Linked DNA regions of Astyanax mexicanus. The protein of the gene in region 1 binds, or shares a complex with, the protein of each later gene. Links are inferred from orthologs where the notes say so. Each region holds a gene or a part of one and is shown in the gene's direction. Other genes may lie near its edges. The genes, in order: kras, rgl1 and sos1.

Region 1 (3,754 bases):
AATAATAATAATAATAATAATAATAATAATAATATTTTTGTTTTATATTTTGTTATTTAAAATAGTTAAAATGGATCAACGCGGATGGTGAATATTTATATTTTATGCCCGAGGAGAGACTACCAGCTACACATGGTCTATTACATAAAGAAACTTCAACGGAGTAAACAATAAGAGTATTTCCAGAAGCTTCTCTCAGTGTTCAGTCCTAAGGAGCAGCACGGATTCCTCAGACTGACTAGAGACATCCCCGTCAGCCCAGTTGTTTTTCAGGCAGCTGGAAATAGCTCATCCACTAATTTTGAAAAAATGTAAGCATCATCTGTCCGACTAATAAACATGTGGGAGGGGCAGGTTTCGGCCCAGTGCGTTTTTTTTGTGAAAACGAATGTAGTACACGATTGAATATATATTCAATCTATATTCAATATATATAAGTGCATGCATATAATAGTGTACCCAAGACAGAAATAATAATATTGCTAGAATGATAATATAGTTACACAAATATTTAATATTTTAAAAAAGAATATACACACACGCTTTAACAGATTTAATAGAGTGTAGTTTGTTTGTTGTTGTTTCGAAGATGAATTTATAGTTTAATATAATGTTCCATCTGTTTTACAAAGGCAACAAAACTATTTCACCTGAAATGATATTTTATCTAAAAAAAAAACTTGACAAGTATGTTTATATTTATATTATTCACTAAAATGCTAAAAATCTACTAATTAATATATGCTCCCAAAATAAAAAAAAAACACTACTTTACCAGTTCTATGAGTGATATAATGAACCTGCCAAAATTGTTTAACACTTTAACAATGCCAAATTACTAACTATTAAGCTGGATATATTTGATGTATTCATTTATATGGCACATCTTAAATTTTATTAGTAATCAGATATATTTAAGAAACCACATGAGGCAGAGTAACAACACTATTTTAGAACAACCCAGTTGCGGTACACGCATTGGTCCCACGGCCTCGTGATCGATAGCGCGTTCAGCCAATCAGATTCATGCATGGGGGCTGACGTCTGTCCAAGACGTCCCCGGTTATATTTAGGGCCTATTTAAGCTCGGCTACACTCAGCGTCCCGCTGCTTACAATGGTGCTTGTCAAAAGCCGGTTACAACACTGTGCTGACTTTTCGCTTTGCTTCGTTTGGTTAGGCTGCACCGACAAGCCTGCAGTGATTTAAAGGGGGTTGTCTGTAAAAGCTCTGAAAAGCTATTTTTAAAAGTTAGTATGAACCGATGACGCCCTGTCGAGCTGCATTGTTCTGCATCGCCTGTTATTGAAGGGATATCGATCTGGTCACAGTGTGCCCTTAAGGCAGCAGCAGCGTGCAGAATGAAAGATGCAAGCTGAGGCTTGGAATTAGTAGTAGTAGCAGGTCGAGAGGGCTGCGCAGCTCATGTACACGTTTTAGGCTTGTCGTCCAGCCTTTAGGAAGTACCGAAACGAGCCAGGAAAGCCCGCCCGTGCTGTGGTGCACTGCTCCCTGGGTAAGTGATCTTAGCGCTGGGCTGCGCTCAGCCACACCGTATCCGCCCATATTTTGTGTGTGAAGCTCAGTCGAGAGCAGGGAGCGAGCGAGCGAGCGAACAGGCCGAGGAATAAAACACCACAGTCCCCGCTGCGGAAAATAGGCTCGGGTAGGCGGTTAGTGAGCTAGTCAGCTTCACAGGCGCAGCATCGAGATAAACTAGCTAGCTAGTTAACTACCTAACCTCGAAGCAATGACCGGCTCGGGTCTGAGGAGCGGACTGTAGGCTGTGGGCTCGAACGCTGGGCTAATATTATTCGTGGACGCGGAACTCGGCTAAGCTAAAACACTGAAGGTAGGTACTAGCTACAGAAACGCTAAACAAAAAACAGTAACGGCTAATTACAGTGTGCACGACCGAACTCGAGCCTGTTGTGTTTAGTGCTGTAAATGCTAACTCTCAAGCTATTGTTTTTGGTAAACTAGCTAAGCTAGCTCAGCTGTTGAGGCTGTAGGTTAGCTTAGCCACCTAGCTAGTTAACTAGCCAAGCTGGCTAGCTGGTTAGCTTAGCTACCGTCCATAGCTACCCGAGAACGCCCCAGTCAGTCAGTCAGGCCCTGTTTGACCAGTGTACCGTTTATCGGGCCTATTTTCGGACAGTTTGAGGCTAAATTCTTAAATAAAAAAATATAAGTGAATTGGCAGTACGTCAAGTTTTTTCTATTTCTGTATCATCTTAAAAAATGCATTTTCACCTTGTTGGCTTTTAAATTGAAAATGGTGTAATCCAAACTGATTGTTACAATATGCAGATTGTGAGAAGCAAAAAAAAAAAGCTTTACTATACTAAATGAATAAAATGAAATAATGAGGTTTTACTCTCAATTTCAGATTTCAAATTAAGCCTCGAATAGTCAAAAAATGGATACACTTATAAACTCTTAGTTAAACGTAACACACAAACCTTATTTCTTAATAGATCCTCTAAGTTATTCCTAACAAAGTCAAAGATATGCACTTTTTTACTTAAGTTTTACCTTTGTCATATTTTCCCTTTCTGTTTAGTGGAGCTAAAAGGTTTATACGTTTATTTGTTACATTTGATTTAACAGAGTTTTGGAATGAGGGAAAGATTATGCTTATTAGTTTCTCAGCCTTTAAAAATTGTGTTCCTAATAATAATTCAGTGTTTTCCTTTTGTCTCAAATCTAATTGGAGACAGTCGAATGATTCTTTAGAACTCTTGGTGATTTTAGGAAAGTTCTTCATTCACAAATGTTGCGCGATTAAACGTAAAGGCCCAGATTAAAGCTGTAGTTACTTTCAATGTTCTGAGATTGTATCTGCCAGAGACTTAATTTAACTTTATTTATTAATGAATTGATTTTTCTGTTTTTCCATTGCTGTTTGTGTTCTTTTACTGCGTCTAATGCTTTAGAATGGACTTAACGTGATATCCGTATGCCTTTCTTGAAAACAAAATTTGTTCTTGCTTTAGGAACATTGCCATGCATCTGTATGATGGATGATGGTGAAACAACCAAAAGCTTCTGACTAGCTAGATAAAGAACCCTTAACATACCCCTTGTTTTCTTTTTCTTTGTTTTTGACAGTTGTTTTCTATTGTCTTCTGAAAGTGGCCACAAAAGTGGTTGGTGGTGTGTTGGGTTTATGTTCTTCTCTGGTTAGCCATCTTTGTTTGTAGGACTTTGCTGGTTTTTAAGTGTTGCTTAAAATCGTAGCCATTGTCATTCAAGAGTTAAAAACGAAGGCCTGGTCTCCAAATGATGACCTGTGTGCATTGTAGTCTGATCACAACAGACACTGTCTATTTCCCATAATCTTGTGTGGAAGTGTGGAATTATTTAATGGATGATTGACAAACATGATGACTCTCCAGATACAGATAGGATTAGGCCTGTGTTTGAGACAGTTTAAACCAGTCAGTGCTGCTTTCTCTTTTTAAGAGTCCAGTGGAAAATCATATTGATATAGTATTAGTTTTAACCTGTACGTAAAAATATAGAACTTTCGATAAAGGCGTACATTATTCTTAAACCAAGGTTCTTGGCTCAGTCTGGATTGAAGGAATGGCTCACCCAAGTGTCAAATTTACACTTTTACCCTTAAGTGTAGTCAATCAGCTGTGACTTGTTTGGTGTGTACAGTAAGCCTTTTCTATTAATGTATACATCAAATTGTGCACTAAAATTAGCAACTACATTTTTCTGCCACCCATAAGTCCAGACTGATTAA
Region 2 (3,754 bases), on another chromosome or scaffold:
ATTACCTGACAATGGAACAGAACAGAGCGTTGCGTCATGTACCAAAAAGAGCAAATATAGTCATGTATTGTGCGTAATGTTTATTATTATAATGTTAATTCAGGCTTATAATGTTTATTTTCATCTAATATTAATTTAATAAACAACACAGTAACTAGGGTTGTCCAAATATTTGAGCAAAATAAAAAAAAGCATATTATAACTGCCTCCACTGTCAGCTTTAAACTTTTCACAACTACCTCATAAAGCTGACTGAGAAAATTCCAATATGTAAAAAGCTGTCATCTAAGAAAGAGGTGCTAATCTGAAGAATCTAAAACATAAAATATAATCTGGTTTAACACTTTTTTTTTTGTTTATTAAATAATTTCATATGTTTTTTTTTTTAAAGCATATAGAATATGAATATGAATCTACAAAGCCATTTTAAAATTATTTAAATAATGAAAAAACACTAAATTTAATGTGTGTCCATAACTTTATTTACAGTGGATCAGCACCAGCAGATGACATGTCTCTTTATCCAAACCATCACTGATTGGTGGAAACTTCACACTAGACCTCAAGCAGCTCGGACTGTGTGTCTCTCCACTCTTCCTCCAGACTCTGCTTCCTTGATTTACAAATGAAATGTAAAATTTACTGATGATCAGTGATGGTTTGGAGAGTCATGTCTGTCATCTGCTGGTGTTGATCCACTGTGTTTTATTGTCAAGTCTGCTGACAACTTTTATGGAGATGCGGATTTCATTTTCCAGCAGGACTTGGCACACTGCCCACACTGCCAAAAGAACTAATTGGTCTTATATAATATTCAAATTTTAATTATAATTCAAATGATCAAAAAAATCGATTGCTCTGTGTGTAATACATCTATATAGTATTATAAATAAGGAGTAAAAGTTGATTATAAAGTTGTTTACTTTGATTTGATTTGAGCTGCAGCTGTAAGAGTTGTTATGCTGGTGAGGAAGCAGCTTTTTTACTTCTGAGAAAAAAAAGTTAACAACAATAGCCCATCACAGAAGAACAGAGGGAATTCTGGATAAAGCAGTTCTCATTAGTATATAAATCTCTAATCTGCTCTTCCCCCTCTCCTCACAAGAACACCCACCCCCCCAAAGCACCTCTCTTTTCTCTTTTCCTGTTTTTGTTCCTCTCTCCCTTTCTTTCTCTTCCTCTCTCGCCCATTTGTGCTCTCTCTCTCTCTCTTTCTCTCTCTCTCTCTCTCTCTCTCTCTCTCTCTCTCTCTCTCTTTGCTCCTTGCTATTCTCTCTTTTCCCCCACTGTTTCTTCCCTCCTCTCTCTCTCTCTCTCTCTCTCTCTCTCTCTCTCTCTCTCTCTCTTTCAATATGCCAAGGCTGAGTTTTGTTGAAGCCCCGCCCCCAACCCAAGAGAGGCGGGGCTAGAGACACAATAGGCTTTAATCACTCATGTCAAAGCTTGTTTCACATGAGAGAGAGACAGACAGAGAGAGAGAGACAGAGAGAGAGAGAGCTTTCCAGTGTTTATTAGAGTTCACTAGTTCACCTCAGCTCACACTGAGGTCCTGCTTTAGGATACATCACTGGAAAACTTTGGAAAACTCTGAAAAACTCTGAAAAACTCTGGAAAACCACTGGAAAACTCTGGAAAACCTCTGAAAAACTCTGAAAAACCTCTGGAAAACTCTGAAAAACTTTGTTAAACTCTGGAAAACCGGACTGGACTATACCCAGCTTCCAAATAAACTGGAGAAAGACCAGCCCTGACCTTCCACCCTCATCATCGTCATCACCCTCATCATCATCAATTTTGTTGCATCAGGCCTGGGATCCTCCAGCCCTGCTCTGGTACTGAACTGGTCATGGTCGGAGCGGTCAGAAGGTCAGGATGATTTCTCAGTACCCGCTGGCATCACTGCTGCCCTGGCCTCCTCTACCACTCTGCCTGGATCTGGACCGGGATGGAGGAGGTGTGGCCCTGCAGAGGTACCAGCCCCGATCCCCGGAGAGCAGCACACGACACTGGGTCAGTTACTGTACTCACCAGCCTGGGTGTATACTTGTTATACTATGTTTGTGTGTGTTTAGTGTGTATTAGGTGTGGGAATCATGAATCATAAGGCATGTCATGATACGATGTTATCACGATACATTGATCACGATTATGATGATATCTCGATACTGTGATTCTGCGATACGCGATATATATATATATATATATATATATATATATATATATATATATATATATTGCAAAACAATTCTCCATGATACTTAATGGCATCCGCCCCAGCTGGCACACAACCGACTGTCAACACAATGTGGTTGAAATATGGTTTAAGTAATGTCGGTTGTTGTTGAAACAGTATTTAATTATAAATGGTTGTGCAAAACAACATTATCACTATGCAATTAAAAAAAAAACAGTTGAATGTAGGGATAAAAAAATGGTAAAACTTCTGTTTGAGGTAGTTGCTTTTTATTTTGGCGCCATTTCTTTACCATACCTTCTTCATCATGGCATATTGTTGTTTTCCTCTTCTTTTCAATTTTGAGCATCCCGAATGTAGGCTATGGTTTAACATACGGTTTGGTTGCAAGGTTGAACGTACGACGTTAAAACAACATTGCCATATCCATGTTGATTCACTTTTCAAAATTAAAACCAAATCCAGTGTCGATTCAAACATAACATCAACATTGAGTCAATATTATGCATTGTTGAAATGCCAGCTGGGGTGTAACTGAAAAGGACAAAGTACTCTATTGGTGTCAGATTCACAGAATTTGACAACCAATATTCTTCAGGTTTACCCTATTCATTTGATTATAGCGCCACCATGTGTGGAGTCTTAGTGAGCTTAGAGCGCTTATGTTTCAATTAAAACATTGATTTTTGACGCTGCATATCGATAATATTTTGCAAATGAAATCGAGACGATATATCGCAATATCAATATTTGGATATCATACTCTGATGTGTGTTTGGGTGTATGATTTTTACCTTGGCTTGAGTGTAGGCTGTTCACTTCTGTGTGTTTATTACTTTTTGTGAATTTTACATACATTACTTTTATATTGTGCTTTTGAGAACAGTGGTGGCTCAGTGGATAGAGAATTGAGTTATTGGTGAATTGGTGAGTTGTGAGTTTGATACTCTTGGCATTGGCAAGCAGTTGTGTATTTTATATGGGGCAATATCATCATGTCTGATCTGATAGCAACCTATCAACACCATAACAACCTACTGGGATACCATAGTGACCACCCAGCAACACAACACTAGTAACCAACTAGCAACCACCAAAGAAACCAGTTAGCAACTAGCAGGAATACCATAGTGACCACCCAGCAACTCATAGCAACTAGCTCTGTAGCAACTAACTATCAACCACCTACAGTAGTTACACCATATGTAGCAACCAGCAAGCAACACCATAGCAACCACCTCAGATATCCTTCTATTACACGGTGGTGGGTGGTGAAATTATGAATGTTAAAGCTTCCACAACAGGAACAAATCAAGATTTAAAACAAGATTTGTGAGGTTAGAGAACCTGATAGGTTTCAATGGATTTGTCATGGGTTCTTCTATAAAGTTGTATTGTCTCTAAAACCATGACTCAAACTCAAACAATATTTTGAATACTGGAATGGTTCTATGTCCCCAGTTGAATGAATGAATCTTGATGGGCCATTACGGAAAATTCTAGCATATAAGTGTTTTGTAAGAACCTTTTTTTTGTTAAAAAAAATGTGAAATGTTGCAC
Region 3 (3,754 bases), on another chromosome or scaffold:
TTTTGGGGGCATTCTGAAATCCTCAGTTTTTTTGACGCTTTATCTATCGATCTGAGCGAGAAACAGCGCGTTAAATAGCTCAGAAAGCTTTGTTATTGTCCCTCCAGCCCAGCGGAGAGAGAGAGTCTCTGTCCCCCACTGCGCATGATCCACATCTGCAGCCGAGTCACAACAACCGCCCAAAATAAAGCGAACGGCTCGCTTTAAACCTGTAAAAACTCCTCTTTACTAACTGCACCATCCTCCATACATCCTGCACTCTCTCCAGCGCCCGCCTGCGCTGTCACCAGCTCAATCTGCCGTCTCTGAACTAGAGCACCACGGCGAAATTAATGGTTAGCCACCCTCCCGTAGATCCGGTGTTCTGTCCATTTAGGTTACCTTGTCACGGCGAGCTACCTTAGTATTTATGTATAGGTAGACATGCCTTAATAAAACATTAGGGAAGATAATTCGATAGTCTGATATCATTAGCTTTTATCAAAAAATGCCCCCGGCAAAAGTGTAGGTATATGGGACACATTTGGCTTTATTGAATTAGGGCTGAAAGATATGATAAAACTATTTAAAGACAGTTTTAACAATACTCGATTTATACACAAATTATCATGACACGACATTTGAACGCAGTTAAAAGGCAGCACTGAGGATGTCTTTAATATGCTAAAAAAAGTATATTCCTTTGGACTAAAAAGCACATCTCTTTTATATATATATTATTTTTTATTGTAGTTTATTTTGCTTAGTAATAGTATTATTTCTTTTTAATCATTGTTGTTTTTATTATTATATTATTGACATAGTTTTGATACTTTTGTGTTTAGGGAAACGTTTTTTTTACTATTATTTATGCTGATTATATGTTTGTATTGACTAAATTCTGCAATAAAAAATATGAAGCATATTGTCAAAAAAAAAGTATAACCTACTGTTGATATGAAACCGTATCAGGATACAATACAAAATCAGAATACTGCCCACCTTTAATCTAAATCAAAATATATGTTTGGTTAAAAGTTAAATATAAGATAATGTATGTGTTATTCATTATAATTTTGTTTATATTAATCCACATTTATTAACATTTATTAAACAACAACTATATAGCGAGAAAATAGTAATAACAACAGTAGTTCGGCGCATGCGCAGTGCCCCAAAGCACCACATATCGGTGGGTAGCGCAACCCGACAGAACACCGGCTAGCTAAAATGGACGAATGTGTTCCGAGGAGCTGGAGCCGCTTTTGTCCTAAACTGTACCGAAAAGGGGAGAGTTAAACTCGGGCTTTTTTTCACTGTGGTGACACATTTCAGTTTTGAATCCGCATTAGTTAGCTGTTTGTAAGCGAATCCCTGTTTGGTTTAGCTTAGCTTAGCCTAGCTTAGCACAGCGAACCGTTTATTATTATTATTGTTAGCTTAGCCGAGCTAGCACCAGCCCGTTTCTACGGCGTCTGGGAGTGCAGGGAACCGATACAGGGGCAGCTCCAGCTGTTTGGCTGCGTGTTTCTTCGCTGGAGTTGCTGTTTTTAAAGCCTCGGGCTGCGGCTTGGGGCGTTTATAGAGCTGTTAAAGCCACTCAGGCACGTTTTCGTCTTGTTTTTGGTGACTCCAGACAGCTCAGCGCTTCGCCACAACGATGCGATGGTCGCATTAGGTCGCTGCTATTTCCACTCGGTCCGCTCGACCAGGCTCCTTCCCGGCCGCGGGCCTGTGTATGGCCCCGCGCCTGCCTTTCTGGTGTGACACACGGCTCACCGGCCAGGGCTTCAGCAGGACGGACCCGGACCCTGACCGGCGGCCCTGAAGCTCCACCGAAGTCATGCAAGGGACACAGTTCCAGTACGATTTCTTCAGCGAGGAGAACGCGCCTAAATGGAGGGGGCTGCTGGTACCGTCGCTGAACAAGGTGAGCTTTTGCACAGCTGGATTTCTGGACCATGTAACTAGTTATCTGTTGACTTTCTGTAGAGTAGCTAGGTTAACTAGCTAGATCAACGTGGTCAACGCAGACACAGCTTTGTAGGCTTTTTGCTAAGTGTTCTCCTAGACCACTGGTTCCCAAGCTTGGTCCTGGCTGGAGGACCCCCTGCCCCATGTTTCTGTGTTTACATTGCGCGTGTTGGGTTTACATGGGAGGAATGTGGGCTAGGTGGGTTCCAAGTCACAAAGCAGATTTAAAGGAATCAGTACATGACACATTACATACATAAACAATACATTAAACGTTAGCTTAATAACCAAAAACAACAGTGACGAGGGAAAATCCTTCAAATATGGAGGAAGAAACGTTGGGACTGAAAGACCCCCTGCCCCATGTTTTAGTGTTTACATTGCTCATGTTGGGTTTACATGGGTGGAATGTGGGCATAGACACTGTAGTCAAATGTATTTGTGTAGCACTTTTCACAGCTGACCTCGTCACGAAGCAGATTTACAGAAATCCAGTAATAAAAAAGACAAGAGATCATCAGTACATAAAATATTCACATAATACCCCATTGAGCAAGCCAAAGAAAACAGTAGCAAGGGCAAACTCCTTCAAATCTGGAAAAAGAAACTTCGGAGAAACTAAAGACTGGAAGACCCCCTGCCCCATGTTTCAGTTTTTACATTGCTCATGTTTTGTTTACTTGGGTGGAATGTGGGCTAGATGGGTTCCAAATGGGTACAGACACTGTAGTCGAGTGTATTTGTATAGCACTTTCTACAATTGGCATGGTCACAAAGGAGATTTTCAGGAATCAATGCACACCACATTACATACATAAACAATATGTAAAGCATTAATTTCAAGGATTCAGTGAGACTTAATTGTCATTCTCATCACATGTGGGACGTGAGATGGAACAAAATTGTATAAAATTGTATAACTTAATCGCATGACACAACAGTGAAATCTAGAGGAAGAAACCTTGGAAGGAGCTAAGACTGGAAGACCCCCTGCCCCATGTTTTAGGGTTTACATTGCTCATATTGGGTTTACATGGGTGGTATGTGGGCATAGGCACTGTAGTCACATGTATTTGTATGGTACTTTTCACAACTGACATTGTCACAAAGCAGATTTACAAGAATCCAGTAACAAATGGGACAATAGAGATAATCAATGCATTAAATATTAACATAATACCTCTTATTGGGCAAGTCAAAGAAAACAGTAGAAAGAGAATAGAAAAGTGGGAGGAGCTATGACTGGAAGACCACCTGCCCCATGTTTTAGTGTTTACGTTGCCAATGTTGGGTTTACATGGGAGGAATGGGGGCTAGGTGGTTTCCAAGTGGGCATAGACACTGTAGTCAAATTTATTTGAATAGCACACAGCTGACATTGTCACAAAGCACATTTACAGGAATCCAGTAATAAACAGGACAAGAGATCATCAATACATAAAATATTAAACTAATACCTCCATTGGGCAAGCCAAAGAAAACAATAGCAAGGGCAAACTCCTTCAAATGTCAAGGAAGAAACTTTGGGGGTAATTAGACACATCCTCATCCGTTTGCACTACTAAAGATTGTTGATTCAAAAAGGGTAACAGTATCACCCTATAAGTCTGATTATCTGTGTGTGCTAATATAATATAATCATAGTCGCTACAGAAGGTAACACAGACATAAGAGCACCCGAGAACACTGGTATTCCTCACCTGCATCATCCACAAACTTGATTTATTGTGTGCAAGTGGCAGAATGATTGCACCAGTGTCTCAGTTTCTCTGGACAGCTGTGAAACACACTTTCTGGACTT

The links.
Region 2: the proteins of kras (region 1) and rgl1 are in contact, whole or in part, in a crystal structure (PDB 7SCX), measured with the Homo sapiens proteins. The link is inferred for Astyanax mexicanus from reciprocal best matches to the Homo sapiens genes KRAS and RGL1. Residues at the interface, in NP_001356715.1 of Homo sapiens: Ile24, Gln25, Glu31, Asp33, Pro34, Thr35, Ile36, Glu37, Asp38, Ser39, Tyr40, Arg41, Leu56, Tyr64, Met67; in NP_001284600.1 of Homo sapiens: Ile651, Arg653, Asn660, Gly661, Asn662, Met663, Tyr664, Lys665, Ser666, Ile667, Met668, Lys685, Asn687.
Region 3: the proteins of kras (region 1) and sos1 are in contact, whole or in part, in a crystal structure (PDB 8BE4), measured with the Homo sapiens proteins. The link is inferred for Astyanax mexicanus from reciprocal best matches to the Homo sapiens genes KRAS and SOS1. Residues at the interface, in NP_001356715.1 of Homo sapiens: Ser17, Ala18, Ile21, Gln25, Asp30, Glu31, Tyr32, Pro34, Thr35, Glu37, Tyr40, Asp54, Ile55, Leu56, Asp57, Thr58, Ala59, Gly60, Gln61, Glu63, Tyr64, Ser65, Ala66, Met67, Arg68, Asp69, Gln70, Tyr71, Arg73, His95; in NP_005624.2 of Homo sapiens: Lys602, Trp809, Thr810, Lys814, Leu822, Met824, Ile825, Arg826, Thr828, Thr829, Thr832, Leu833, Leu872, Val875, Ser876, Asn879, Ser880, Ser881, Pro882, Tyr884, Ser908, Asp910, His911, Tyr912, Lys913, Phe929, Phe930, Gly931, Ile932, Leu934.

What each region holds. Positions count from the first base shown.
Region 1 is NC_064409.1:62,227,343-62,231,096, forward strand, and holds the start of kras (GTPase KRas), read left to right. Parts: upstream 1-1,091; 5' UTR 1,092-1,516; intron 1,517-1,522; exon of another isoform or gene 1,523-1,852; intron 1,853-3,754. UniProt on the Homo sapiens protein: Ras proteins bind GDP/GTP and possess intrinsic GTPase activity. Plays an important role in the regulation of cell proliferation.
Region 2 is NC_064419.1:4,911,255-4,915,008, reverse strand, and holds the start of rgl1 (ral guanine nucleotide dissociation stimulator-like 1), read left to right. Parts: upstream 1-1,449; 5' UTR 1,450-1,872; coding exon 1,873-2,010; intron 2,011-3,754. UniProt on the Homo sapiens protein: Probable guanine nucleotide exchange factor.
Region 3 is NC_064423.1:31,887,523-31,891,276, forward strand, and holds the start of sos1 (son of sevenless homolog 1), read left to right. Parts: upstream 1-1,105; 5' UTR 1,106-1,822; coding exon 1,823-1,909; intron 1,910-3,754.